Rattus norvegicus: one gene and its partners. The protein of the gene in region 1 binds, or shares a complex with, the protein of each later gene. Links are inferred from orthologs where the notes say so. Each region holds a gene or a part of one and is shown on either strand. Other genes may lie near its edges.

Evidence for each region.
Region 2: Smarce1 (region 1) and Smarcd1 share a complex: the UniProt entries of both Homo sapiens proteins name them as parts of the BAF complex. The link is inferred for Rattus norvegicus from reciprocal best matches to the Homo sapiens genes SMARCE1 and SMARCD1.
Region 3: Smarce1 (region 1) and Actb share a complex: the UniProt entries of both Homo sapiens proteins name them as parts of the BAF complex. The link is inferred for Rattus norvegicus from reciprocal best matches to the Homo sapiens genes SMARCE1 and ACTB.
Region 4: Smarce1 (region 1) and Smarcc2 share a complex: the UniProt entries of both Homo sapiens proteins name them as parts of the BAF complex. The link is inferred for Rattus norvegicus from reciprocal best matches to the Homo sapiens genes SMARCE1 and SMARCC2.
Region 5: Smarce1 (region 1) and Dpf1 share a complex: the UniProt entries of both Homo sapiens proteins name them as parts of the neuron-specific chromatin remodeling complex. The link is inferred for Rattus norvegicus from reciprocal best matches to the Homo sapiens genes SMARCE1 and DPF1.
Region 6: Smarce1 (region 1) and Smarcc1 share a complex: the UniProt entries of both Homo sapiens proteins name them as parts of the BAF complex. The link is inferred for Rattus norvegicus from reciprocal best matches to the Homo sapiens genes SMARCE1 and SMARCC1.
Region 7: Smarce1 (region 1) and Phf10 share a complex: the UniProt entries of both Homo sapiens proteins name them as parts of the neural progenitors-specific chromatin remodeling complex. The link is inferred for Rattus norvegicus from reciprocal best matches to the Homo sapiens genes SMARCE1 and PHF10.

The regions. Positions count from the first base shown.
Region 1 is NC_086028.1:84,654,968-84,659,173, reverse strand, and holds the end of Smarce1 (SWI/SNF-related matrix-associated actin-dependent regulator of chromatin subfamily E member 1), read left to right. Parts: coding exon 1-168; intron 169-2,551; coding exon 2,552-2,760; 3' UTR 2,761-3,706; downstream 3,707-4,206. UniProt on the Homo sapiens protein: Involved in transcriptional activation and repression of select genes by chromatin remodeling (alteration of DNA-nucleosome topology).
Region 2 is NC_086025.1:132,707,396-132,711,426, reverse strand, and holds the start of Smarcd1 (SWI/SNF-related matrix-associated actin-dependent regulator of chromatin subfamily D member 1), read right to left. Parts: upstream 2,801-4,031; 5' UTR 2,796-2,800; coding exon 2,619-2,795; intron 2,569-2,618; exon of another isoform or gene 2,394-2,568; intron 1,982-2,393; coding exon 1,794-1,981; intron 1,503-1,793; coding exon 1,460-1,502; intron 1,362-1,459; coding exon 1,239-1,361; intron 804-1,238; coding exon 681-803; intron 1-680. UniProt on the Homo sapiens protein: Involved in transcriptional activation and repression of select genes by chromatin remodeling (alteration of DNA-nucleosome topology).
Region 3 is NC_086030.1:16,775,326-16,779,463, forward strand, and holds the start of Actb (actin, cytoplasmic 1), read left to right. Parts: upstream 1-1,338; 5' UTR 1,339-1,410; intron 1,411-2,350; 5' UTR 2,351-2,356; coding exon 2,357-2,479; intron 2,480-2,566; coding exon 2,567-2,806; intron 2,807-3,272; coding exon 3,273-3,711; intron 3,712-3,801; coding exon 3,802-3,983; intron 3,984-4,107; coding exon 4,108-4,138. UniProt on the Homo sapiens protein: Actin is a highly conserved protein that polymerizes to produce filaments that form cross-linked networks in the cytoplasm of cells.
Region 4 is NC_086025.1:1,476,503-1,480,002, reverse strand, and holds part of Smarcc2 (SWI/SNF related, matrix associated, actin dependent regulator of chromatin, subfamily c, member 2), read right to left. Parts: intron 814-3,500; coding exon 754-813; intron 623-753; coding exon 585-622; intron 372-584; coding exon 241-371; intron 114-240; coding exon 42-113; intron 1-41. UniProt on the Homo sapiens protein: Involved in transcriptional activation and repression of select genes by chromatin remodeling (alteration of DNA-nucleosome topology).
Region 5 is NC_086019.1:93,736,842-93,740,341, forward strand, and holds part of Dpf1 (zinc finger protein neuro-d4), read left to right. Parts: intron 1-290; coding exon 291-418; intron 419-580; coding exon of another isoform or gene 581-634; coding exon 635-724; intron 725-1,970; coding exon 1,971-2,049; intron 2,050-2,201; coding exon 2,202-2,333; intron 2,334-3,211; coding exon 3,212-3,262; intron 3,263-3,355; coding exon 3,356-3,475; intron 3,476-3,500. UniProt on the Homo sapiens protein: May have an important role in developing neurons by participating in regulation of cell survival, possibly as a neurospecific transcription factor. Belongs to the neuron-specific chromatin remodeling complex (nBAF complex).
Region 6 is NC_086026.1:119,048,556-119,052,055, forward strand, and holds part of Smarcc1 (SWI/SNF complex subunit SMARCC1), read left to right. Parts: intron 1-1,343; coding exon 1,344-1,602; intron 1,603-2,873; coding exon 2,874-3,035; intron 3,036-3,500. UniProt on the Homo sapiens protein: Involved in transcriptional activation and repression of select genes by chromatin remodeling (alteration of DNA-nucleosome topology).
Region 7 is NC_086019.1:64,635,259-64,638,758, reverse strand, and holds part of Phf10 (PHD finger protein 10), read left to right. Parts: intron 1-1,452; coding exon 1,453-1,583; intron 1,584-2,303; coding exon 2,304-2,387; intron 2,388-3,242; coding exon 3,243-3,376; intron 3,377-3,471; coding exon 3,472-3,500. UniProt on the Homo sapiens protein: Involved in transcription activity regulation by chromatin remodeling. Belongs to the neural progenitors-specific chromatin remodeling complex (npBAF complex) and is required for the proliferation of neural progenitors.

The DNA of each region.
Region 1 (4,206 bases):
CAGAGATCGCACAGGCGGAGGAGCAGGCCCGCAAAAGGCAGGAGGAGAGGGAGAAGGAGGCAGCCGAGCAAGCTGAGCGCAGCCAGGGCAGCATCGCCCCCGAGGAAGAGCAAGTGGCGAACAAAGCCGAGGAGAAGAAGGATGAGGAGAACATCCCGATGGAGACAGGTAACCGCCTCCCCAACCCAGGAAGTGTGAGGGCCCTGACAGCCGGCATTCTGCCATTCCCTGTCTCTCTCAGAGCAGCATGGTGGCATCAGTCTTGCCGTGTGAGCTCTTGGTAGTACTCAAGTGGGGGTGGCTCTGGAGACGGGCGTGCAGGGCCCTGTCTGTTTGCCCATTGCTGACACTGACTTTGCTGAGCTTTCTCTCATCTCCTCATTTGAACAGCTACTTGCTGCTGGATTTGACATAGGATTAATAGGCAATAATACTTTAACCTTTATGGCTACTATTTACATAAGATGTGTCATGGGCCCGAGATTTGTCTTAGTCCTTAGATGGCAAAGTTTGACTAGAAGATGGCCAGACTCACTTGTTGTGAGTCACACTACATGTGACAGCTTTGAGGTGACATGAGAGAGTGTGTGTGTGTGTGTGTGTGCGTGTGGGTGTGGGTGTGCGTGTGTGTGGGTGTAGTTTGGGACTTGAAACAGACTTCCTGGCCAACAGCCTTTAGTGATGACCGTCTAAGCCTTACATGTTGGTGCCAACCGACCTCAGCCTACTGTGCTTTTTTTTTTTTTAAGATGTATTTATTGTATTCATATGAGTACACTGTAGCTGTCTTAGACACACCAGAAGAGGGCATCAGATCCCATTACAGATGGTTGTGAGCCACCATGTGGTTGCTGGGAATTGAACTCAGGTCCTCTGGAAGAGCAGTCAGGGTTCTCAACCACTGGGCCGTCTCTCCAGCCGGAACAATGCTTTTTGATGTTTTGGTTTTCCTGAATAAAGGCATTCCTCATGGTTTGGATTTTTTTTTTTTTTTTTTAAAGAAAAGAAAGGTAAAACTTAGATCAAATACTGATGAACTTGGTTGTTCTTGAAGTTTTCGAGATCACCTTGCCTCTCAGCACGATTGACCCTGCCTAGTGGATAAACAGGAGTAAGCCAAAAGTAGTCAGGGGACACTAGCACTTGCTGGGAAAAGGGACATGGGCATACTCTGTACTCAACAGTAATTCCTGGCAGTGTTTAAGGAAACGTCAGTATCTCTGCCAGGCATTTACACAGTATTTAACTCAGTGGGTTTCCTTTCCAGACAGGCTGGTTTTAGTCTTCATTGTCTGGGCCTCTTTCTGGTTTTGTGAACCCGGTTTTGGTTTTTGGTTTTGTTTTGTTATTTTTTTACCATAAATTGGGCGAACCAGAGTGTGGTTCTTTGCTCATCTTGCAACCAAACCATGTCTTCAGTCTTGAGTCTGTTTTGCCCCAAATGAGGTTTGTCTCCCTCTGACGGCGTCTGGGTGTCTGGGATGTTTACTGAGATGTCTGTCTGCTAGCTTAAGGAAAGAAAACGGAGGGAGAACTGAAGGGAAAAAATTAAAGATATTAGAACCTTGTGTTCAGTTTCCTAAAGGAAGTGGCCAGCACCACTTTAAACAGAGCATCTGCTTCTTTCTGTGCCTTCATTTTGTGTATTTCAGGCAGGATCTTGCTCTACTGTGTTGTCTAGGCTGGCCTCAGACTCCGGAGTGCAATCTTCTGGTGCCACCACCTCTGGCTTCTGGCTTCCTTTTAATGTTACATTTAAACCAAGTCTCCAAAAAAATATTTACATGTTATAAGATTTTAAAAATTAATACTCTAGGCTAGACAGAAAGCTTAGTAGACGGACCTGAGCGCATATGGGAAAAGCAGGTTACATCCTCAGGATCCAGTACAGGAGCTAGAGATCAGCAGATTCCTAGGGCTCATTGCCTGCCAACCTGGCCTACCTGGTTACTCCCAGGTCAGTGAGAGATCCTAAAGTGGACAGTTCTTGAGGAACAGAACACTTGTGGTTCTCCTCTGACATGCGCACACATACAAGACTCTCGCTGTCTTACATTCTTTTATTGTATCAAATCTTTGAAATCTAGCATGTATTTTATATACTTCTTTTTTATTTATTTTTATTTTATTTACATTAGTGACTTGACTTCATGTATGTCTGTGTGAGGGTATCAATCCAGATCCCCTGGAACAGGAGTTACAGATAGTTGTGAGCTGCCATATGGGTGCTGGAAACTGAACCCCAGGTCCTCTATGGAAGAGCACCCAGTGCTTTTAACCTTTGAACCGTCTCTCCAGCCCCTCTCCCAAAAGCTCAATTCTCACCACAAAAGTGTTTGATATGTATTTAAATTTCTTAATACTGTAGGTAAAAATGTAGATTTTCGCACCCTGAGTTGTCTCAGATATTCATGAATATTCCTGAGTCACAAGACTGGCTCATTTCACTGCTTGCCACGTGTGCCTAGTGGCGGTCAGACTGGACAGGTCATTTAATGCCGTCAGCAGAGTTAGAGTGAACGGAACTGATGGTGCAAATGTGTGGTTACAGAGGAGACACACCTTGAAGACACTGCGGAGAACCAGCAGAATGGTGAAGAAGGCACATCTACTCCTGAGGACAAGGAGAGTGGGCAGGAGGGGGTTGACAGCATGGAGGTGGAAGGGACCAGTGACAGTAACACCGGCTCAGAGAGCAACAGCGCAACGGTGGAGGAGCCGCCCACGGACCCTGTGCCAGAAGACGAGAAGAAGGAATAAATGTTGCCTTGTTTTATGTGACCTAAAACTTTTTTTAAATGAAAAAAAAAATGTGTTTTTTTTGGTTTTAATGGTGTTATGTGGTCTGTGTATTATTTCCATTGATACCGTGAAGGTCTTCAATAGCATAGCCTAATGCCATCTGCTCACCTTTCTTAGCTCTCAACTTCTGAAACCTCAGAACTGAGATCAGTCGAGAGACCCATCTCTTTGAGAACCACTTGGATGCTGCAGAATCTGCTCTTCCAAATGCCTTCCTTCAGCTCACTTGGGTGCTCATCAAAGCCATAGCTTTAACCCCTCCCAGACCAACTACAGCTCTCCGAGTCCCCTGTCGTGTGTATTTATACAGAGTGCCCTCTTTATCTCTGATATCAGACACCAGGCATCCTCTTACAGGGTAGGGTGTAGCCTGAAACCAGCGAAACACAGATGAGACTGTGCAGAGATGGCCCTGGAGGGGCCGGGGGAGTAGTTACTGCTGTGGATTCTCATTAGGTGAGCCCTGCACGTGCATATCCATATCTGTGCAGTTATTATGGGATGTGTTCTGGGAAATTCATCCTTATTGTACAGGGGGAAAAGAAATGTGTTTTTACCAGATTGGTTTTCCAAAGACATGATAGACAGCAGAGCCTAAGGAATGGGATATTCTTATAATGGACTGCAGACTTCAAAGTGATTGGCCTATTGCAAAAGGAAAACAGGAACTACGTTCATCCACTTGAGCATACTTCATAGTGATGAAAACCTCAAGGCTCGAGATCCCATAGATCAGAGCCGAACCTACTTTTTTGATAAGCCCTTTAGTGGTGTTAGAGACTAGATATGAGATAGTTTGTAGTGCGTGCTCTCTGATATCTAGAATAGATTTTTACTGAATAGTGGTATATATGATGTTATATGTTTCTTAAAGGCCCAAACATAATAAAGAAATTAAGACAAAGGTCTCAGTGTTTTTATTGCACTGTAAAAAATCGACATAATTTGGTCCCTATGATACCAGGACATCATGGAATGACCCACAATCATGAAATGTCTGTCACTCATAGGAAGCTTGCCTCACGAACTGTCAGTATTAACAGGACTGTGAAGGAATCTGTTTGGTGTGGCTAACGAGTGAATATAGCCTGTGCTCATGGGGGAACCGTACCTGCACTCCCCACTTAGTGACTTACACAGCAACAAGCAATTTCCTGAGAGGAAGCTTGATGTGTGGGGTCATCCTTAGGCCAGTTTTTCCGTGGTTCTGCCCTTCCTTGAAAATCAAACAATTTTTTTTTTCAAGACAGGATTTCTCAGTGTAGCCCTGACTATCCTGGCAAAAAAACTTATCTGTGAACAGGTCTGTTTGGGGTTTTGAGCATGGAGAGCTAAAAATTCAAAAAATGTCTCATCTTAAATAAATTGGATAACCACAGATAAAATCCTCTGGAAGGTGAGATG
Region 2 (4,031 bases), on another chromosome or scaffold:
AGGAAAGCCTGACAGCAGAGGGCAAATGAATCCCAGGCCAGAGGCAGGGGAACAAAACCTGCCTTTCTCTGGACAGAACACATGACCAGCAAATAGCCTGGACCTACCCAGAGGCAGCTCGGTTCCCCAGCAAAAGTGCATCAGACGAGCTCACTTGCACACAGTTTAAAAGTGTCAGAGTGCAGAGCTCTGAGGGAACGGCGAGCCTCCCCAATGAGCTGCTGGGTGGAGAGTCTGGGGTGCTCATTAGTCTGATGAGCAACAAAGAGCCAAGCCTTTGGGGGGGCTATCGTACTTAAACTGTGGTGCCTCCAATGAAACCTGGGAAGACAGAAATAACCTCAAGGACCTAAGGGAGGAAACATGGGCTCAAACACTAAGCACAGATGGTGGTGGGGATAAGTGAGCACTGAAATCCGAAGGGCAGCATCACCAGGCAAAGTAAACAACAACCCAGACCCCAGAGCAACAAAGGTTTCCACTTGATACCAGAGAAGCTGTGAGAGTAGGCACAAAGGACCATTGTCTTTGTAGGCAGGGAACACAGCACCCCCAACCCCCTTCCGGAAGCTCCCAGCAGGAGTGGTGAACACCAGTCAGGTTTCCTGCTGACCACACAGCACTGCTCCTTCCCAACAGCTCCCACCCTGAGCACCAACCACCATGGACCCTGAACTCACATCCTCCAGGAGCCGTCCTTCTACCCGGAGCTCCCAGGAAGCCACAGTCCCTTCCCCGTCCTCGGCATCCGACTTAGCCGGATTGAATGTGTTAGAAATGAAAATCCGCAGCTTCCGTTTTTGCTGAGGAAGGCAGAAACAGGATTGACCGTGGGGCTTCAAGAGCACAAGGTTCCCTAAAGCTCCCAGGTCACTCCTACCAGGCTGGCTTTGTAGATGGATAAGGACTCCACTGAGGAGCAAACAGGCCCTGACTTGGGCCTGAGTAAATGTGCCAGGGTGCCAGGGAGACAAAGTCGTGCAAAGTGGCAGGTTCCCAAGGTAGCGAGGAGCAAAAACAAGGACAGGGTGTGTTTCTGCTGAAGAGAGTGGGAAGCCCCCCCTCTCCTTGCCAGCCGCCCCACTCCTATGCTCCTGATGTAATTCCTGGTTTGCAGGCAGAAGGGAAAGATGCAGTTTAAATGCCAAAGAGAGATGTGCTGTGCCTTTGGGTTTTCTTCCTAAGCTTGGTGGAGCGTCCTGGCTCCCTCCTGTGACCCTCTGGTACTCTCCTGGTACCTTGATGGGCCGCTTCAAGGCCTCCTGGATATCCAGGCGTTTCCTCATAATAGTCTGGTCCAGTTTCCTTTCAAAAGCCAGGAGATCCATGTAGGCCTGTGATTCCGGTACCAATTCCCGAATCTTAGGAACAGAAAGATAGGGTCAGGCCCTAGAGCTGACCACCTCTATTCTCAAAGCCACTACCCCTTCAGGAAGGCCTCTACAGCTGCTGCACTCACCCTCTGAGGTAGGATTTTGTCAGCCATCTTCTTTTTCTTTGCACTGTTCAGAATAAATACTGTTATCAGGTTGGGATAGGAACTAGTCAAAACATGAGCATCGCTGTGAGCACCTCCATTTATGGTACAGCTACTACGGCCTACGGGATGACTCTCCATCTCCCAGTACCACAAAAACTCCACTTCATCACGAGGCCAGAGAGCCTTCAAAAGGGTGAGTCCCTGCAGCACCATTTGATACTGCAGCGCCTGACTTCCTGGGGACTCCCAGCATCAGCATCCTCACAGGCCTCCTCCCATCCCCGTCTTTCCTTCACCCCAGGGGGCATCTTACTTGTGATTTCGATTTTGGACCGCCTGCTGCTGGACCTGCTGGATCTGTTGAGGTGCAGGTCTCTTGCGGGATTGGTCCATCCCTGACTGGGCCAGGCCAGGTCGGACTGAAGGGTTCCCCCCATAGCCAGGAGGTCCCATGGAAGGTCCCTGAGGTGTCATTCGGCTGCCTGGCAGCATACCTGGTCTCTACAGAAGGGAGAGGACCAAGAGATGTCATATTTTTCCATGCTAGCCCCACCAAGGAAGGAAAAGTGGTGGAAGGCTGGATTTCAGGGATGGGGTAGGGCTGGGGGGTGGGTAGAGTGGAGGACAAGACAATCCTTTGCTTCTTTGAAATATGGTAACTGGAGCTTCTTCAGGCCTACTAGTGATTTAATGGAATATAGTCTAAAAACTAGATTATACTTGAATTTTCTGATCTATGCTGGATCTGACTCATCAGACATTTCTAGTCCTACTTTTTTCTTTTTTTAAACTAGCTGCTGTCTCCTCTAAGGCTGACCTCAATTTGCTGCAATAGCTTGGGTGTTCCTGGAGACACTGGGGCTGCCCATTCCCCTCTGCATCCCATGCCCATCCCAGGGCCCACTTCACCCACCCTGGTTCCACACTCGCTCCTCACACGGAAACAATGCCGCTGGGAGCAGGTAAGGATGCTAACCTCCTTCCCCCCACTCTTCCTCCGCTCAGTTTCCCCCACCTCCACTCCCGGCCCGAGCCCCTCCCTAGGGAGTCCCTCCCACTTCTCCCTCACCCCTGTCAGTCCTCCGCCCTCGCTCGGCCCCGCCCCCGGCCCGCGCGCCCCTCCTCCTGTCCCACTCACCGGATAGGCCGCCCCGGGCATCGGAGAGCGGTACAGCCCTTGACCCGGCGCCGGGCCCATTCGCACGGGAGGCCCGGGAGTTCCGCCCGGGCCCAGAGCAGCCGCCACGCCCGCTCCTCCTGAGGCTCCCGCGCCGCCGCTCGGAGCCACGGACTGGAAACCCGCCCGGGCCGCCATCTTCCCGGAGCCGCCGCTGCAGCTGCACAAAGAACCGGAACCGGAACTCCCCCCGCCCCCCGCGCGCCCCCCGAGCGCCTGGGCTGTTTGTGGGCCCGGCCCGCCGGCGGGCACGGGCGGCTCGGGGCAGCGAGACTACGGGCTAGAGGGGGCGACTAGCGGGAAAGGCGTGCTGACCACTCCCTCCCGCCTTCACGGGCCAGGAGGGAGCACCATAGAGAGGCGGTGTGCTGATAAAGAAGTGCCGGGAGCGAGCGCCCCCGGGCGGTTGGAGGACGTCAAGGCCTTGCAAAGAGCCCAGCCCACCCCGCAGGCGGCTGGAGTGATGCTTCACCTCGGCCCAGTGCGTTTACCTCTCCAAAGCATTCTGGTTGGTTTGCTTTTTGTTTTCCTACGGATCAGACTCCGGATGCTAAAGAGGGAAACAGGCTGTTTGTTCGTTTTACAAACGGAAAAGCTGAACTCAAAGGAGGTGAATGTCGTGGCAAAGACAAATCGAGATAAGAGAAAAGCCATCCTGGATTCGGGTCTCCTGGCTGGTAGCCAGGGCCTCATCTTATAAATAATGGCTTAAGGGGTTGGGGATTTAGCTCAGTGGTAGAGCGCTTGCCTAGGAAGCGCAAGGCCCTGGGTTCGGTCCCCAGCTCCAAAAAAAAAAAAAAAAAATAAATAAATAAATAAATAAATAAATAAATAATGGCTTAACAGCTCCCCGGCACGGGAACTTAGCCCTTCACCTCAGACCTTTAACTTCAGATTTTAATGAATTCTTTTACCTTGAATCTTCTCCAAAGAGACCCGGATATCTGTTGCTTTAGATTACTTTGCTGGTCCACTGCCTAGGGAACAGAGGATTCCTGAATTTGTTCTTTTCCAGGTGGATCAGTGTTTTTACCTGATCAAGTATGTAGGGTCTCGAATAGCCTGGTCTAGCGTTAAACTCACTGTGTGATGGAAAACAGCTGCTCCATCTCCTATGCGCTGGAATTAGAGGTGGAACCACCACACCAGACTACCACCCAAATTTCTTTAGTTGTGTGGCCCTCAAGGCAAGCTCCGATCTAAAGGTTAACACCCAGAGTGCAGGGTGCTGGCAGCTCATACCTTTAATCCTAGCGTTTGGGAGGTAGGAGGATCTCTGTGAGTTCGAGGCCAGCCTGGTTTACAGAGCTGTTCCAGGACAGCCGAGGCTACACAGAGAAACCCTGTCTCAACACAAAACAAACAACAAACAGA
Region 3 (4,138 bases), on another chromosome or scaffold:
CCTCCTCATGCACAGCCACTGTAGCCCATATATGGATGAAGCCTTCCTTGGTTTCAACACCTACACTTTGTGAGCCAGTGCACACCTACTATGCATGTGTAAAGCCATGGCAGGTCCAGAGCATCCCACCTGAAGCATTCTCCTTGCCTAAATATAGCTTTCTGTCACTCTCTCCCAGGAGTTGTGCGTCCTTCTAAGCTAAGCTGAGGGACCCGACCCTCAACTCTGATCCCCTGCTGTAGCTATCAGCCAAATGGCTAGCTTCCTGAGCAGAACTCTCCTACTTAGGTGAGGAGAGCAGGGGGTTCTTCTCTCTGGAGGATTTGGGGCTCTGGTGACCACCAGCACTTCCCTGAGTAGTTTGTCACTCCCAGAGTCCCCGTGGCCAGCAGATGAACAGTTCAGTGTACAGTTCAGCTGTGGCTGCACATAATACATAGAGGCTAGATGGTGGGCTCCAGCCCAACGATGCCTGGCAGTCACCCAGAGCCACTAGCTAACGGCCCAGGCTTAGTCTTGCCTGGGTGTGATCAGGCAGCCCTCCAAAAGTGCCGGACTCCATGAGAAGTTTTGCTTGTTCGATTGAGCACAGTTCCTTTCTAGGTCCGGGGCAGAGGATATCTGGAGGCATCTTCCTGCAACAAACACCTCCAGTCACTGGACCACCGGGGCTTGCCCTATCCTTGGGACTCTGGCCTTGAGTGGTCAAGATCCCTGAAGACCTTCCCAACCACAGCTCTGCTTCCAAGTTGTACCCCAACACACCTAGCAAATTAGAACTGCAGCAGAAGGCCCCCAGATCTGGCTTTCCTGACTATTGCTAGCAAGGGGGAGTGACTCTCTGCCCATTCAATCCAGACCCCGTGTGTCCCTCAAACAAAAGGCCACTCAAATAGGGTCCGGGCCTTCAAGCTGACCCTCGCCCACTTAGGTGATCATTATTCCCGTGACATCCACACCCAGAGGGTCCTGGGGTGGGTGGGTGACCCCCAGAATACAGGCCTAGTAACCGAGTCACTGAATGGGATAGTGTCCACAAGGGCGGGGGCTATTCTTGTCCATCTGGGCCTACGGAACCAGCACCCATCGCCAAACTCTTCATCCTCTTCCTCAATCTCGCTTTCTCTCTCGCTCGCTTTTTTTTCTTCTTTTTTTTTTTTTTTTTTTTTTTTTGCAAAAGGAGGGGAGAGGGGGTAAAAAAATGCTGCACTGTGCGGCGAGGCCGGTGAGTGAGCGACGCGGAGCCAATCAGCGCCCGCCGTTCCGAAAGTTGCCTTTTATGGCTCGAGTGGCCGCTGTGGCGTCCTATAAAACCCGGCGGCGCAACGCGCAGCCACTGTCGAGTCCGCGTCCACCCGCGAGTACAACCTTCTTGCAGCTCCTCCGTCGCCGGTCCACACCCGCCACCAGGTAAGCAGGGACGTCGGGCCCAGCGGGCCCCAACTTTACCTTGGCCACTACCTCGCTGCAGGATCGTGAGGAACACTCAGAAGGGACACCGTAGAGGGGTGGAGCGTGGTACCGGGCCGCGGAGCGGACACTGGCAAAGCTTAACTTTCCGCCTAGGGTGTAGAGTGTTTGCAGTCGTATTCCCGCGGTGTAGACACTCGTGGGCACGCTCCTGCTTGGTGCGCGGGGCTTGGGGACACACTAGAGTCGCGGTGTGGGCATTTGGAGAGCCGGTGCGGCTTGCGGGTGTTAAGCCGCATCTGTCCACCTTGAGGGGACACAGTATTGGGAGTCAGGCGTTACAATCACGCTTTGATGGCCTATGGGTCTTTGTCCAAACCGGTTTTGCCCATTCGGCTTGGCGGGCGCGGCGGGGCCGGCTCGGCCGGGTGGGGGCTGGGATGCCATTGCGCGTGCGCGCTCTATCACTGGGCATTGGGGCGCGTGCGCGCTGGGGAGGGAACTCTTCCTCTCCCCCTCTTCCGAGTTAAGAGTTGCGCGTGCGTATTGAGACTAGGAGCGCGGCCGCCCCGGGTTGGGCGAGGGCGGGGCCGTTGCCCGGAAGGGGCGGGGTCGTAGCGGCTAGGGCGCCTGCTCGCGCTTCCTGCTGGGTGTGGTCGCCTCCCGCGCGCGCACTAGCCGCCCGTCGCCTCAGTGTAGGCGGGGCCTGTGCCCGTTTGGGGAGGGGGCGGAGGCCTGGCTTCCTGCCGTGGGTCCGCCTCCGGGCCAGCGTTTGCCTTTTATGGTAATAATGCGGCTGTCCTGCGCTTCCTTTGTCCCCTGAGCTTGGGCGCGCGCCCCCTGGCGGCTCGAGGCCGCGGCTTGCCGGAAGTGGGCAGGGCGGCAGCGGCTGCTCTTGGCGGCTCCGCGGTGACCATAGCCCTCTTTTGTGCCTTGATAGTTCGCCATGGATGACGATATCGCTGCGCTCGTCGTCGACAACGGCTCCGGCATGTGCAAGGCCGGCTTCGCGGGCGACGATGCTCCCCGGGCCGTCTTCCCCTCCATCGTGGGCCGCCCTAGGCACCAGGTAAGTGACCCTTTACTTTGGGAGTGGCAGCCCTAGGGTTTTCTTGGGGGTCGATGCCAGTGCTGAGAACGTTGTTCTCCTCCGCAGGGTGTGATGGTGGGTATGGGTCAGAAGGACTCCTACGTGGGCGACGAGGCCCAGAGCAAGAGAGGCATCCTGACCCTGAAGTACCCCATTGAACACGGCATTGTCACCAACTGGGACGATATGGAGAAGATTTGGCACCACACTTTCTACAATGAGCTGCGTGTGGCCCCTGAGGAGCACCCTGTGCTGCTCACCGAGGCCCCTCTGAACCCTAAGGCCAACCGTGAAAAGATGACCCAGGTCAGTATCCTGGGTGACCCCTCCCCTCTATTGGGCCAACTTCTCAGCCACGCCCTTTCTCAATTGTCTTTCTTCTGCCATTCTCCCATAGGACTCTCTTCTATGAGCTGAGTCTCCCTTGGAACTTTGCAGTTTCTGCTCTTTCCCAGATGAGGTCTTTTTTTTCTCTCGATCGCCTTTCTGACTAGGTGTTTTAAACCCCTACAGTGCTGTGGGTGTAGGTACTAACAATGGCTCGTGTGACAAAGCTAATGAGGCTGGTGATAAATGGCCTTGGAGTGTGTATTCAGTAGATGCACAGTAGGTCTAAATGGAGCCCCTGTCCTGATACTCCCAGCACACTTAACTTAGCTGTGTTCTTGCCCTCTTTGCATGTCTCACTCAAATCTATCCTTACAGTCTCACCTGCCCTGAGTGTTTCTTGTGGCTTTAGGAGCTTGACAATACTGTATTCCTTTCTCTACAGATCATGTTTGAGACCTTCAACACCCCAGCCATGTACGTAGCCATCCAGGCTGTGTTGTCCCTGTATGCCTCTGGTCGTACCACTGGCATTGTGATGGACTCCGGAGACGGGGTCACCCACACTGTGCCCATCTATGAGGGTTACGCGCTCCCTCATGCCATCCTGCGTCTGGACCTGGCTGGCCGGGACCTGACAGACTACCTCATGAAGATCCTGACCGAGCGTGGCTACAGCTTCACCACCACAGCTGAGAGGGAAATCGTGCGTGACATTAAAGAGAAGCTGTGCTATGTTGCCCTAGACTTCGAGCAAGAGATGGCCACTGCCGCATCCTCTTCCTCCCTGGAGAAGAGCTATGAGCTGCCTGACGGTCAGGTCATCACTATCGGCAATGAGCGGTTCCGATGCCCCGAGGCTCTCTTCCAGCCTTCCTTCCTGGGTAAGTTGTAGTCTCATCCCTTCTCCATCTAAAGGTGACCAATGCTGGAGGCCACACTGTAAGTCTGATCTCTCTTGCTTTTCCTTTCAGGTATGGAATCCTGTGGCATCCATGAAACTACATTCAATTCCATCATGAAGTGTGACGTTGACATCCGTAAAGACCTCTATGCCAACACAGTGCTGTCTGGTGGCACCACCATGTACCCAGGCATTGCTGACAGGATGCAGAAGGAGATTACTGCCCTGGCTCCTAGCACCATGAAGATCAAGGTAAGCAGCCTTAGCCTGGACCCATAGTGGGGTGTGGTCAGCCCTGTAGTTGTAGCCAACTCTCTTGGCTTAAGGAACAACCCAGCATCCAGAATGCTCACAATCACTGTCTTGCTTTCTTCAGATCATTGCTCCTCCTGAGCGCAAGTACTCTG
Region 4 (3,500 bases), on another chromosome or scaffold:
AAAAAAGATTAAGAAAAGAAAATCATAAACTGAAATCTTACATCTCTGGAGTCTTGGACTTGTTCTTGCCGTTGAAGAACTCAGGAAGAGCCCTCCGCTCAATGGCATGGACACTGCAGGATAAATCACAATGGTTCACAAGGCCCCAGGGGTGGGTAGTTAGCAGCTCTTGGCTGTGGGGCAACAGGAGAAACAGCCCACTGATCAGCAAGGGGAGGAGGAGGGTGCGTAGGGTAGCACCTGTTGTAGTCAAACCAGGCAGCATAGCTGGGGACGATGATGTGGTGTGTCTGCTCTGTCACGTTGTCCTCGTGCAGGTCCGCGCTCTTGGTCTGCTCCCCTTTGTTGCCGGTGCTGTTCTCGTCCTCATCCTAGAAGTATGGAGGCTGCTGGATACTCAGCATTCCCATCCCCTAGCAACCCTCAGCTCCTCCGGTAGCCAGGAACAGGATGCCACCGAAGCGGGGAGGGAGATGAGGATGGGCACCTAGGCCGGGGGTGGGGAGGCTGGGCAGAAGGAGAGGTGGAGCCCTGTAAACACATCACAGAGACACACAGAGACAGCCTGTCTAAACCAGCTGCACCTTGCCCGTGGTCTCCATGCTTTCGTCGTCCTGTTCATCTGGAAAGGGAAGAAGCCGAGTGTCAGGCAGGAAGGAGCACAGGGTCAGCAAAGGCAGAGGGCTGGGGGAAGGTAGGCTGAGCGCTCCATGCCTCAGGCACTGCCTGCTAAGGTCTCCCTCCCTGTCTCACCCAGGTCAGTCATGGTGCCGCCTTTGACTGGTGCTGACTCGGAGTCCTTTTTAGTGTTGACTGTCGGGAGAAAAAGCCACTGCATTAGACATGTTGGCCAAAATCAAGCTCTCACTTCTCAGCTGTTAATAGTTTCACATATCTTGCTTTCTCAAAAAAACTTTCAAACATGTTTTCTATTTTACTGCCTTATGCAACCAATGGCTTCCTTTAGCTTTCTCATCTGTGTGTGCAGTTCCATGACTCCCCAGCCTCAGCATCCTAAGGGCCATTCTTTTCTGGCTGCTCTGTCCCCTATCTGTTTCCCTGTACAGTCTTCTAATTGAAGGATGAGCTCATACCAGGTAAGTAGTCAGATACCAGCCCTTGGTTACTCCTGGCAACTGAACCCAGGCCTCACGCACATACGTCTAAGTGTCTACCAGAGTCACAGTCCCAGCACCAAGCCTTCTTTTGGGGCTTGGGGGTCTCATGTGTTCCAGGCCTCTTAACTTACGAAGAGCGGCCTGGCTCTCTGCACCTGCTCCTGAGAGCTGCTGAGCTTACAGGTGAGTACCCCACCAAGCCAGGCTCCCAGCACTTTCTTCTGGTCTTCCCTTCCTAAACTCTTTATTTTGGTTTTGCCTTTTTCAAACAGTCTCAAGCTAGAGAGAAGGTTGAGAGGTTAAAAGCACTGGCTGTTCTTCCAGAGGTCCTGAGTTCAATTCACAGCAACCATATGGTGGCTCACAACCATCTGTAAGTGTAGTTTCATGGAATCCAATGCTAACAAATCTTACAGGCAGATAAACATCATTTTACATGAAATACATCCATAACTAAAATTTATTTACTTTTTTTTTTTTTTTTTTTTTGGAGCTGGTGACCGAACCCAGGGCCTTGCGCTTGCTAGGCAAGTGCTCTACCACTGAGCTGAATGCCCACCCCCTTATTTACTTCTTTACTTAGTATCTTTTAAGAAGAAGAGACACAGACTGAAGCAGCCAGCCTGCCGAGGGCCGGGCCAGCAGTCAGACGGCAGGTGTGAGGCAGCACACTTGGCTTTCCTTCTTATTGTGAGTTATGCTACCGGCCTCAGGAGTCATTCTGAAGCCCAGGCAGATTCTGTACTATTTACATCCTCCTGCCTCAGTCATGCAATCACTGAGATTATAGCCTATACTATGACACCAGGCCTACTTAAATGAGTAGATCTTAATTAATAATATTGTTGTTTTGGGTTTTCTTGAGACAAAGTCTCACTATGTAGCAATCAACAGCTGTCTTGAAACTCACTATGTAGACCAGGCTGGCCTTACATTCACAGAGATTCACCTGCCTCTGCTTTCTGGGTACTGGGATTAAAGGTGTTTACCACCATTTCCAGTCAGATCTTAATTAATTAATTGTTGAATACAAGGTCTCTGTATGGAACCTGGCTGTCCTGGAACTTGTGATGTAGACCAGACTAGCCTCTAATAGCTTACAGAGTTCTTCCTGCCTCTGCCTTCTAAGTGCTGGGATTTAAAATCATGTGTCACCATGTCTAGCCTAAATATTTAAAGAAGATTTAAAACTGTCTGAAAGGCTGGGGGACAGAATGCAGGACTCTACACCTGCTAGGCAGTGTTCACTGTAAGCTGCACCCCTAGCCTAATTTTCAATGCTGTAAAGCAGAGGAGACTTTTCTCCCTTAATTTCATACACAATGCTCAGGAGAAAACAGCTTCCCAACCCCACTCACATACATCTCTTGATATGTGAGGCTGGCGGACAGGGGACAGACTACAAACCAGTACTGTAGTGCAGTCCCCTCAAGAGCACTCCTCATACTGGACAGACTCACAGTCAGCAAACAGTGCCTGCCGTCCAGAGGAGATTCTGAGCCTAAAAGAGGGGACCAGATCCAGGTCCTCTGGAGCTAGAGGGCTCTCTGGGGACAGCAAGCACTCTGATTGCTCAGCCACCTCTCCAGACTCCCAGCTCTGTTTAAAATGTCGTCTTAACATTTTTACAGTTTCATTTTCTTTTCCTTTTTTTTTCTTTCTTTTTTGATTCAGGGTTTCTCTGTGCAGTCCTGGTTGTTCTGGGATTTGCTATGTAGACAGGGTGGCCCTGAACTCAGATCTGCCTGCCTCTGCCCACCAAGTGCTGGGTTAAAAGGTGTGTGCTACCACCGTGGTAGATTTTTATTTTTTGATTTTTTTTGAGTTATTTCTCTGTGTGTGAGTGTTTGTCAGAATGTATGCTTGTACACCATCTGCATGCAGTGCCTGCAGAAGCCAAAAGAGGGTGCTGGGTGCAAGGGTCCTGGAATTAGGCGGTTGTGAACCACTGTGTGGAACTGGAAAGCAAACCTGAAAAAGCAGCCATTGCTCCTAACCACTGAGCCAGCAGTCTAGTCCCCACCCCACTCCCTTTTTTAATCATAATGTTTGCATTTTTTAAAGATTTATTTATTTATTTTATGTACATGACTACACTGTAGCTGTCCTCAGACTCACCAGAAGAGGCCATCAGATCCCATGATAGATGGTTGTGAGCCACCATGTGGTTGCTGGGAACTGAACTCAGGGCCTCTGGAAGAGCAATCAGTGCTCTTTTTTTTTTTTTTTTTTTTTTTCGGAGCTGGGGACCGAACCCAGGGCCTTGCGCTTGCTAGGCAAGTGCTCTACCAGCAATCAGTGCTCTTAACCATTGAGCCATCCCTCCAGCCCTTGCATATGTTTTAAAATGGTCCTAAAGTGAGGTTTTGGCAGTATAATTTA
Region 5 (3,500 bases), on another chromosome or scaffold:
CACTGTGCAGGTGTTTATGAGGGTCTGCTATTGTTCCTGAGGGTTTCTGGTGTATGCGGGTCTCGCCCTGTCTTCTTTATCTAGTAGAGCTGAGGGCATGGCTGTGTCTCCCCAGGGTATGGGCATTCTTTCCAGGGCCCGAGTTGAATCCTTATGTCCATTGTTGGTTGAGCGTGGGAGAGGCTGCCCCTGCTACAAGGACCACGCTCCCACCCCCACCTGCCTGCAACCTGGGCACTTTGACCACAGCCTCTTCAACTGATACCCCTTTCCCTGTGGACTGTCCCCAGATTGTGAGGCACCTCTGAAGAAGGAGGGTGGCCTCCCGGAAGGGCCAGTCCTTGAGGCTCTGCTGTGCGCTGAGACTGGAGAGAAGAAAGTGGAGTTGAAGGAGGAGGAGACCATTATGGACTGTCAGGTAGGAGCCCCCTCCCTGGCTGCAGGTGCGCTGTCACCACTATGCCTTCCTGCTCTGAGATGCCCGGCTCCACAGGGCCTTTGGGGACCCTACAGCCCCATTCTCCCAGAACACCTCTGCTTGTAGAAGGCTCCCTGACTTGCTCTCCCACCCCACCTGCAGCACATCAGTGCCCCCACCTTCTTGACCCCCCAATCTCCCTTCTACTGGGCCCAGAAACAGCAGTTGCTGGAGTTTCCGCATGATCTCGAGGTAGAAGACTTGGAGGAAGACATTCCCAGGAGGAAGAACAGGGCCAAAGGAAAGGTATCTTCCAGAAGCTTCTCCCTCCCACCTCCTCCCCAGAGCTATGTGAAGGAGTAGAGGGTTTTGCACCCATTCTTATGGGTGAGGAAATGGAAACTCAGTGGATTATAACAATTTCAAAATTGGAGCTTGTGGATCAGAACTGTCTTGCAGACCTGGGTGTGGCAGCCCACACTTGTAATCCCAGTACCTGGGAGGCTGAGGCAGGAGAATTGCTCCAAGTTTGGGAGAAGTGAATCCCAGGCTATTCTGAACTCCATAAAGAGACCATGTGCAAAAAGAAAAAAAAAATCCTAAACCAAACCAGCCACCCAGACAACAACAGCAACACACACACAAACACACACACAAACATGTATGCACACATACGAACACGTACAAACACGTATGCATAACCACATGTGGATATACACACATACAAACACATGGACAAATATACACTCCACATACACACATAAACACACATATACATGCACACCACACACACAAGTGCACCTGCATATACGAACATATACACACATATACCATGCATATACACCACATATACAGACACATATGCAAATACACATTTACTACATGCACACAATCAAACATACACACACACAACACACACATACACACATACACACACACCCTCCATTATGAGCAGTAAAAAAGTGTTAGAACACACCTTTAATTCCAACACTGGAGAGGCTGAGGCAAGAGGACCTCTGTGAGTTCAAGGCCAACCTGATCTGTATAGCGAGTTCTCGGACAGCAAGGACTGTGTGGAGAGACTCTGTCTCAAAACAACACCAAAAAGAACTATCTAATAGGTGTACTGCGAGAAGTTCAAAGGCTCACAGCTAGAAAATGTGCCTGGTTTTAATGGGGAGACTTCATTATTGCTGTGTGGCTCTGCGATGGCACCCAGAGTCTCATACTCCCATGACACCTGCTCTGTCACTGAGCCACACCCCTAGTACTAAGAAAATTTTAACTTTTTTCTTCAGTTTGAATTTTCAAGTCTAAATGAAGAAACCCACTAAGGCATGGTAGCACATACCCGTAACCCAGAGGCAGGAGGATCACTGCATGTTTAAGGCCAGTCTGATCGACAGAGTGAATTCCAGGTCAGGCAGGGCTACACCATGAGACTCTGTCTAAAGCAACGACAGCAACGACAAGGACAAACTCAAAAGCCCCAGGAATGATGAGCCTTTCCCTGGTTTCCTGGCTTCCTTACTCCTAACCCTCCTCCCTACAGGCGTATGGCATTGGAGGTCTCCGGAAACGCCAGGACAACGCATCCTTGGAGGACCGAGACAAGCCGTACGTCTGTGATAGTGAGTTCTGCCGAGGGGAAAGAGAGAGGGGGTGTGGGACCCAGGGACTCTCCCTTTTGGCCCTTGGCAGAGCAGGGGGGTGTGATCCTGGAGACCCGGGGTGGAGGAGGTGGCCCTGGAGTCTGACAACCACCTGCTCACTTCCCCTCCAGTCTGTGGGAAGAGGTATAAGAACCGGCCAGGGCTTAGCTACCACTACACCCACACCCACCTGGCTGAGGAGGAGGGGGAGGAGCACACTGAGCGCCACGCCCTGCCTTTCCACCGGAAAAACAACCATAAACGTGAGTTGTGAGTTGGAGGGTCAAGGCTGGTGGGTGAGGTGCGAGGGGTGGGGCGGGGGCGGTGGAGACTGGTAGTGTCTGGGGAGGTGGAGGCACAGTTAGACATTTCTGGAAAAAATCTTCACGGTTCCCTCCCCCACCAATCATAGGGATGCTGGCTCTAGGGTTGCCATGACAACCAACCCCCTCTCTCTCTCTCTCTCTCTCTCTCTCTCTCTCTCTGTCTCTCTCTCTCTCTCTCTCTCTCTCTCTCTCTCTCTGTCTCTCTCACTCTTTCACTCACTCCCTTCCCGGGTTTATTTCTGGGTCTGATTTATTGTTTCAATTAGAACCTGGAGTGGGGTGGTAGATGATCCCCTCTCTTCCTAGACCTCCCTTGTCTCCTCTGCTATGCTAGGGTCCAGGGGCAAGGTCCCCAGGGTCCTTGATACCCACTCATGGCTGTTCCATGCCATGACAACTGAACCATGGGGGGAGGGGGCCTAGCTCACCTGTCCCTCAAAGACAGCTTCTACAAATCCACAGGCCTGACCCAGAACCTTCTGTGCTATAACAATGTCCTCCTGATTAGGCGTTGCAGAACTGCGGGCTAAGCGTTGGCCTAGGCAAGCTTACCTGGGGGGTGCAAACACACGATGGTGGCAGCAGCCATGGGTTCTTGCTAAGGTTATGTCTATCCTCACACTTTTACCCAAATAGAGAAAACATACCCAAATAGAATCCTAAGAGTTAGGGTTCTGGTGAGCATTCCTTGTCCCTCCCCCAGCTTTCTTGCTACTTCCCAGTGCCTGGGCCAAGGGTCCGCCCCTGGGGCTGAGGCTGGGGACAGATGGGACCTTGCCTATGGTAAGAGCCCCTTTCTGTCCCCCTACCCCCAGAGTTTTACAAAGAATTGGCCTGGGTCCCCGAGGCACAGAGGAAACACACAGGTAGGGGCACCTCCCTCCTCCCCGACTTCTGCAGTAGTCTTTGACTGGCACGCCTCACCTGTCCTGTGCCCACCGCTGCCTGCTGTCTTTCAGCCAAGAAAGCACCAGATGGCACTGTCATCCCCAATGGCTACTGTGACTTTTGCCTGGGGGGCTCCAAGAAGACTGGATGTCCTGAGGACCTCATCTCCTGTGCGGACTGCGGGCGATCAGGTGAAACTCACTACGTATTTCTGGA
Region 6 (3,500 bases), on another chromosome or scaffold:
CAGGAAATCATGCCACCAGAGAGAAGTAACAGTAGCAAGCCCTAAAAGGTTGACAAGTTATTTCATTTGTTATATTTTCTTACTATTTATTTTATGTATTTAATCATATAGATTCAGGTTTTCGTTTTTGTTTTGAAGGTTTTTACGACTTTTTACCAAAACTCTAATAAATTTTATGACTCATTCTATTCTGTCCTGTCAATCTTTTACTGCTAGCCTCAATTTTTATTAAAAATCCATTGTCTTGTAGACCTTAGTGTGTTTGTATGGGTAGATGATGATGTGTATGTGGAAGGCAGGGCAACATTGGAGTCTGTTCTCTTCTAACATCTTGTGGGTTACTAAACAGTGACTTCGTCTCTCAGCCTTCTCACTTGCCCCTTTTTATTGTTTGTGTCTCTTTCTTTCCTCCCTTTCTTTCTGTCTGTCTTTCTGCCCATCTTTTCATTCTCTCACGTTGATTTTCTTTGTATCATGTTGGTCTTACACATAATTTACTCAAATTTTTATTTCATTTTAATAATGTTACAAATATTTTTCCACTTTAAAATTGTTCATTGCGGGCTGGAGAGATGGCTCAGTGGTTAAGAACACTGACTGCTCTTCCAGAGGTCCTGAGTTCAATTCCCAGCAACCACATGGTGGCTCACAACCATCTGTAATGAGATCTGATGTCCTCCTCTTGTGTGTCTGACACCTACAGTGAACTCAAAAATAAAATAAATCTTTTTTAAAAAAGTTATTCATTGCTATGAGAGGAATATAAGCATTGTTCTTGCTTTCTCTTACGCTTTTAGCCCATCTGATATTGTCGTGGTAATCTTCAGCCACCATCTCAGAGTAGATTCTTTGAAAGTTTTCATGTAAAGAGTAGTGATCCAGTTTAAACGAATATTGTAATGTTCAGGTATTTCATTATTGTTTTGTTGCCTGATTGACAACTTATTATAAGGGTCACTGCCAGATTACCTTTTACCTTAATGTAGAAATAATTATTTATATTACTAGTTTGAAATAGGATCTTGTCCACTCTGTTATCTTCAAATCTTGTCTCAGTTTACAGACAGTTGGGGTTGAAGGGCATGCGCCACCATAACTACTAGATCACTACCCAAATTTTTTTAGAATTCTGTCTGCAGAATCTTAGCAAGGTTGGGTTTGCATGCCTAGCACTCTTGAGCCTGTGAACCAGGGTTAGTAGAAGTTGAAGACCAGCCTGTATCACATAGTGAGATCCTGTCACACAGAAGGGGGAAAAAGGGCACTGGCTTCATTTTTCTTCCCTTCTATTTTCCTTCCTTGTTATTTGATGCTATCACCCTTTTGTTTCTGTGTTCACTTAGGCTCTGGAGATGTACAAGGATGATTGGAATAAAGTCTCGGAACATGTTGGAAGCCGTACTCAGGATGAATGCATCCTCCACTTTTTGAGGCTTCCCATTGAGGACCCATACCTTGAAAATTCAGATGCTTCTCTTGGGCCACTAGCTTACCAGCCTGTCCCTTTCAGCCAGTCAGGAAACCCCGTGATGAGTACTGTTGCCTTTTTAGCATCCGTGGTTGACCCTCGAGTAGCATCAGCTGCAGCCAAAGCAGCTTTGGGTATGTACTTCCTGTGAAAGCTACCTCTCCAGCACTAAAGTCTGACTTTATATTCAAATATGATTAGCCATGAACTTAACATTTGCCTCAGTTATATAAAGTGTATGCTGTGCAAGCATGAGGGCCTGAGTCAGATCTCCAAAGCCTGTGTAAAAGCTAGAAGCTCTAGTATATGCTTATAGCATCTATACTGGGAGACAGAATAGATGGTCTCACAAGTCATCCTGACAGGGATAGTAACTCAGAGATAAGGTGGAGGGAGAACTGATAGAATCTTTGTTGATGTCAACTGGATTAAACCAGCAGACTTAAACCCAGGCACAAGCTCACCCCCACACATACATACAAATGCTTTTAAGAATATCAGCTGTGTTAATACACATTTCTCTCTTATAAGTCACACAACAAAAACTAAAGATAATGTGCTTCATCAAAATGTAGAAAATAATTTGTAAGGACTTTGTTTTTCTTTCACTTTTAAAAATCTATTTTGTGTGTGTGAGAGAGGGAGGGGAGGGGGAGAGGGATGGAGGGAGGGAGAGAGGGAAAGAGAGAGAGGGAAGATCACTTACCATGATATATCTCTGAAGGTCAGGATTAGCAGTGCAAGGGTGAGCTTTGTCCTACTACGTGTGCCTCATGAATTGAATTGTCAGCCTGGCCACAAATGTCCATTCTGGCTGAGCCATGTTGCTGGCCCATAGAATATTTGTGGATTTAGAAGAACAGCTAGATAATTTGGCATAACCTGTGAAATTGCAGCTTTTTAGAGGAAGAGACAAAAGAATCAGGAGTTTAAAGTTCAGCGTGGACTATTGTGGATCTTGTCTCAACCAACATACATGTACATACACACTCGTGTATAAAGGAAAGTAAGTGTTTTATGACATTAGGATATTGGTAGAGATATAGCATGGAAGCTACTTAATTTATTTTCAATAACTTAATTTCACCCAGGCATCTTTTATATTGTAGGATTTACATTTTTAAGGTTGTTTGATCCTTGCTGTTTTTATAGTTACCAGTCTTGCCAGCAGAGTGGTGAAATCAGGACTGAAATTTTACTTGTTTCTAATAGATTTTTAAACAACTTTTCAAAGTATAATAAAGAAGGCACTATTATGTTTTGGATAATAACCTAGGGAAGTGATTGGATTGATTCATTTTATATTTTCCCTAGTGTGCTCACTGTATAAACTGATGTTACTTTGTCACACTAGGATCAAATATCTATGCAAAATTAAGATATTGTCTTTGTGATCTTGACTCAGAGGAGTTTTCTCGTGTCCGAGAAGAAGTACCCCTGGAATTGGTGGAAGCGCATGTCAAGAAAGTACAGGAAGCTGCAAGAGCCTCTGGGAAGGTGGATCCTACCTACGGCCTGGAGAGCAGCTGCATTGCAGGCACCGGGCCCGATGAGCCGGAGAAGCTTGGTGCGTCACTAATGAGTACAGCATTCGCTTTAGAGATGCTTATATTCCTGTCAGTGTGCAAAATCACGGGCTTTGCTTACACACAAGCAATCAAAACAATATAATGTGCCTCTACATTTTATTATATATATTTTTCTCACATTCTTGTGAGGTGGACAAGGGGGACGTGGTACAGAGAAAGCAAGAGCTAAAAACAGTGCCTGATAACCAAACAGTATCAGTTCCTCAGTATGTATGGGTGTGAGTGTGAGTGTGTGTGCCATAGGTGTAGTATGTATGGGTGTATGTGTGTGAGTGTGTGTGCCATAGGTGTAGTATGTATGGGTGTGTGTGTGTGAGAGAGAGAGAGTATGTGTGTGTGAGTGTGTGCGTGCCATAGGTATAGTATGAATGGGTGTGTGAGTGTGTGTGTGCCATAGGTATAGTATGTATGGGTGTGTGAGTGTGTGTGTGTGTGTGTGTGTG
Region 7 (3,500 bases), on another chromosome or scaffold:
TGTATACACTGGCTAGTGGTGTTTGTTGAATATTTTTTAGGTGTATTTTGACAATTTGACTTATATTTTTGGAGAAATGTCTGTTTACTTCTCTGTCCACTTCTCCACCCCTGCCCGTTTTCGCTTTTGTTTTTTGAGACAGGGTCTTCCTATGTCCCTCTGGCTAGCCTAGAACTCACTATGTAGATAGGCTGGCTCACAGCGCTAGGACGGAAGGCCTACACCGCTATGCCCAGCTGTCCATTTCTCTTCTTGACGTACTCTGCATAGGAATTTCTTTATCTGGCTTTTTTCCCTATAGTTGATAGTGTCACTTTTTTTTTTTTTAATTTTCATGCCCGTAACTTTTGTTTTGGGTATTAAGTGTAAGAGTTGGTTTTTAACTTAGAGTTTTCTAGGCAGCTCTTACATACATTTAGGATTTTGATTCATTCTGAGCTACTTTTTGCATGCGATGTGATGGGAGGTGAGGTTCCTTTCTGTGGCTTTGTATGTGTCTGTTCTTTGCTAGCACCAACCAGGTTTGGCTGTTTCATGAGCTAGTTTTTTTTTTTTTTCCCCCGGAGCTGAGGACCGAACCCAGGGCCTTGCACTTGCTAGGCAAGCACTCTACCACTGAGCTAAATCCCCAACCCCGATGAGCTAGTTTTAAATGAATAAATGCTACAAACCACTGTCCCACTCCTGCGTCTGATTTATGTTACGTGATCCAGATTGACCCGTTCATTACAGTCTTTACTGTTGAGGATTGCAGTTGGGTGCAGTACACAACTTCCAAATAGATCTGCTCTTTACTTCAGGTTTGTAGAGTATAAAGACATAAAATTACAGCTTATTGTCCAGTTCACTGACAAAGTGGTCCTTGGAATGTCTGCTTTTCTAGTTGTGTGTGACTTACTGAGCAATACATAAGGATCGGAAGTTGTCTGTTATATCTGGGATGTATGACGTAATTGTAGTGACTTTTAAATAAAACTACTTGAGTGTTGCTTCCTTGCTTTGCTTTCTTAGATCTAGTAGGGTTTAACTTTACGTGTGTGCCCACGTGGGTATGGCGGCTCGCCGAGGCCAGAAGATCATAGTAGGTTCTGAGCTGGAGTCATGGTGGTTGTGAGCTGCCTGATGTGGTGCTGGGAAGCAAATACTCATCCTCTGCAAGCGTCAGTCATAAGCGCTCCTAACCACTGAGATCTCTCCAGCCTTAGGTTCTTTGCATGTACAGAAACTGCCATGTATATGTTTGCATGTGAAGAAATTTAGTGGACTTTTTTATGTGACATTTTGGATCATTAAATTTCTTCCTTTTACCCATTTTGTAATTTTTTCTATAATTACAGCAGTAATAAAAAGAATTGCAATTCTTAAAATTGTTTTGAAAATAATTTGGAATATAAATATGATTGACGTTTAATAAATGCCACATATAAGGCATAATGTGTGTTTGCATCTTAGCTTCAGTTACTACCCAGCAGAAAACTTAATAGAATACAAATGGCCACCTGATGAAACAGGAGAATACTACATGCTTCAGGAGCAAGTCAGTGAATATCTGGGTGTGACCTCCTTCAAGCGGAAATATCCAGGTACTTACGGCTTAGTGTATTAATGGATGACATCATACTTACCACAGAGACTTGGTTATGAGTTATTTTTCTTCTGCTTATGAAGCAAGTGCACTTGCTGATTTAATTTGTGATGAGCACTCAGTATCCTACTGTGGAGGTAGCATGCTTCTTCTGTATGTCACCAAGTTCTTTAGGGACAGAATAAGATTATAGGTGTGTAACATCCTACTGACTTCTTGAGGATAAGTTTGAAAAGAAAAATCACTTTATAGCCAGTGTTTTTAATCGAAACTGTTGCTCTGTGGCCTCAGAAATAGAGATAGCATCTAAGCCGAGCTTGAATTGTCGGAAGCCATTCATGATGAGCTGCCCTAATATAGAAAATGGTTAACTTCGGATTGTTCTAGTTTTTAGTTTTCTGATGTTTATTTCTTGAATTTGTAAGATGTGTGTGTGTGTGTGTGTGTGTGTGTGTGTGTGTGTGTGTAGTTACCTAATAATACTTAGAAAATTTAGCAACAAATGTGTTTAAATAGTTGTTTTCCTAAGTTTTTAAAAGTTTTAAGATGTATAGTTTTAGTTTTTTTTTTTTTGTTTGTTTGTTTTTTGGTTCTTTTTTTTGGAGCTGGGGACCGAACCCAGGGCCTTGTGCTTCCTAGGTAAGCGCTCTGCCACTGAGCTAAATCCCCAGCCCCAATAGTTTTAGTTTTTAACAGTCCTTTTGTTCTGCTTTTGGAGATTTAGAGCGACGAGATTTATCTCACAAGGAGAAACTGTACCTGAGAGAATTAAACGTCATCACGGAAACACAGTGCACACTAGGTAACTAGCACCTATCCTGTCTATTAAATGAACATTTGTAGGTGGTAGATAATTAGATAAATGACACATCTCCTAAAATAGTTTACAAAATTAATAAATTATTTAAATAATAAGTTGTTTACTTATTTTTAATTGTTAAAATGTAAAGGCATGATATAATTTTTTTATACTACAATATAATTTTCTATTGATAACTTTAACAGAGTTGTCAAAATGTTTGTGTTTTGGGAGTAGAATTTATATCTAAGTAGAGAGCTTTATCTGTACTACTGGGGATTGAACCCATAGATTCTTATTTTTGGCAAATCTTGTCAAACTTTTAAGTTCCTTATAGCATCTGCTTTATTGATAATTTATCTTTGGTGAGTGCATCAATGTCAACGGGCACTTCCCAGTATAAATTCATCACAGCAGTAGGGAAATCTGATACTGATGCTGTAAAAGTTACGTGGTGTGTGTAGACTGGCGAATGTTTTAAGATGTGAATTGATAGTATTTCTGATATATAAATTTGGAGACTTAGAAATATATATTGAGAAATACTTTTTACATATCCTGTCTTAATTATTAGTGGCTACTATATACCATTCATAATTATTTCTAAGTATATTCTTACGATTTATATAAAATAGAAAGGCTCAAATCATTTGATTTGATTTAATTTTTGTTTTACAAGATAACGTTTAGTTTTGATTGCTTGACTTTATTGGGAAGAATTAACTTATATTTTACAATGTATTAATTTTGCTTTGATTACAGTAAGACAGTAAAAAAAAAGCTAGTTTTGAAAAAGCACTGTGTTCGCTTGGCCTTAAGATATTTTCTTTACTTTCTTTTGGGGGGGGTCTAAAATAGGTTTAACAGCATTGCGCAGTGATGAAGTGATTGACTTAATGATAAAAGAATATCCAGCTAAACACGCTGAATATTCTGTTATTCTACAAGAAAAGGAACGTCAGAGAATTACAGATCATTATAAAGAGTATTCTGTAAGTGATTTGAGGTGACTGATGTCTGTCTTAGGGGGCGGGAAAACTTTTTATAAAACTATATCTGACTTCTAACTGTACTATTTTCCTTTCAGCAAATGCAGCAACAGAGTACTCAGAAAGT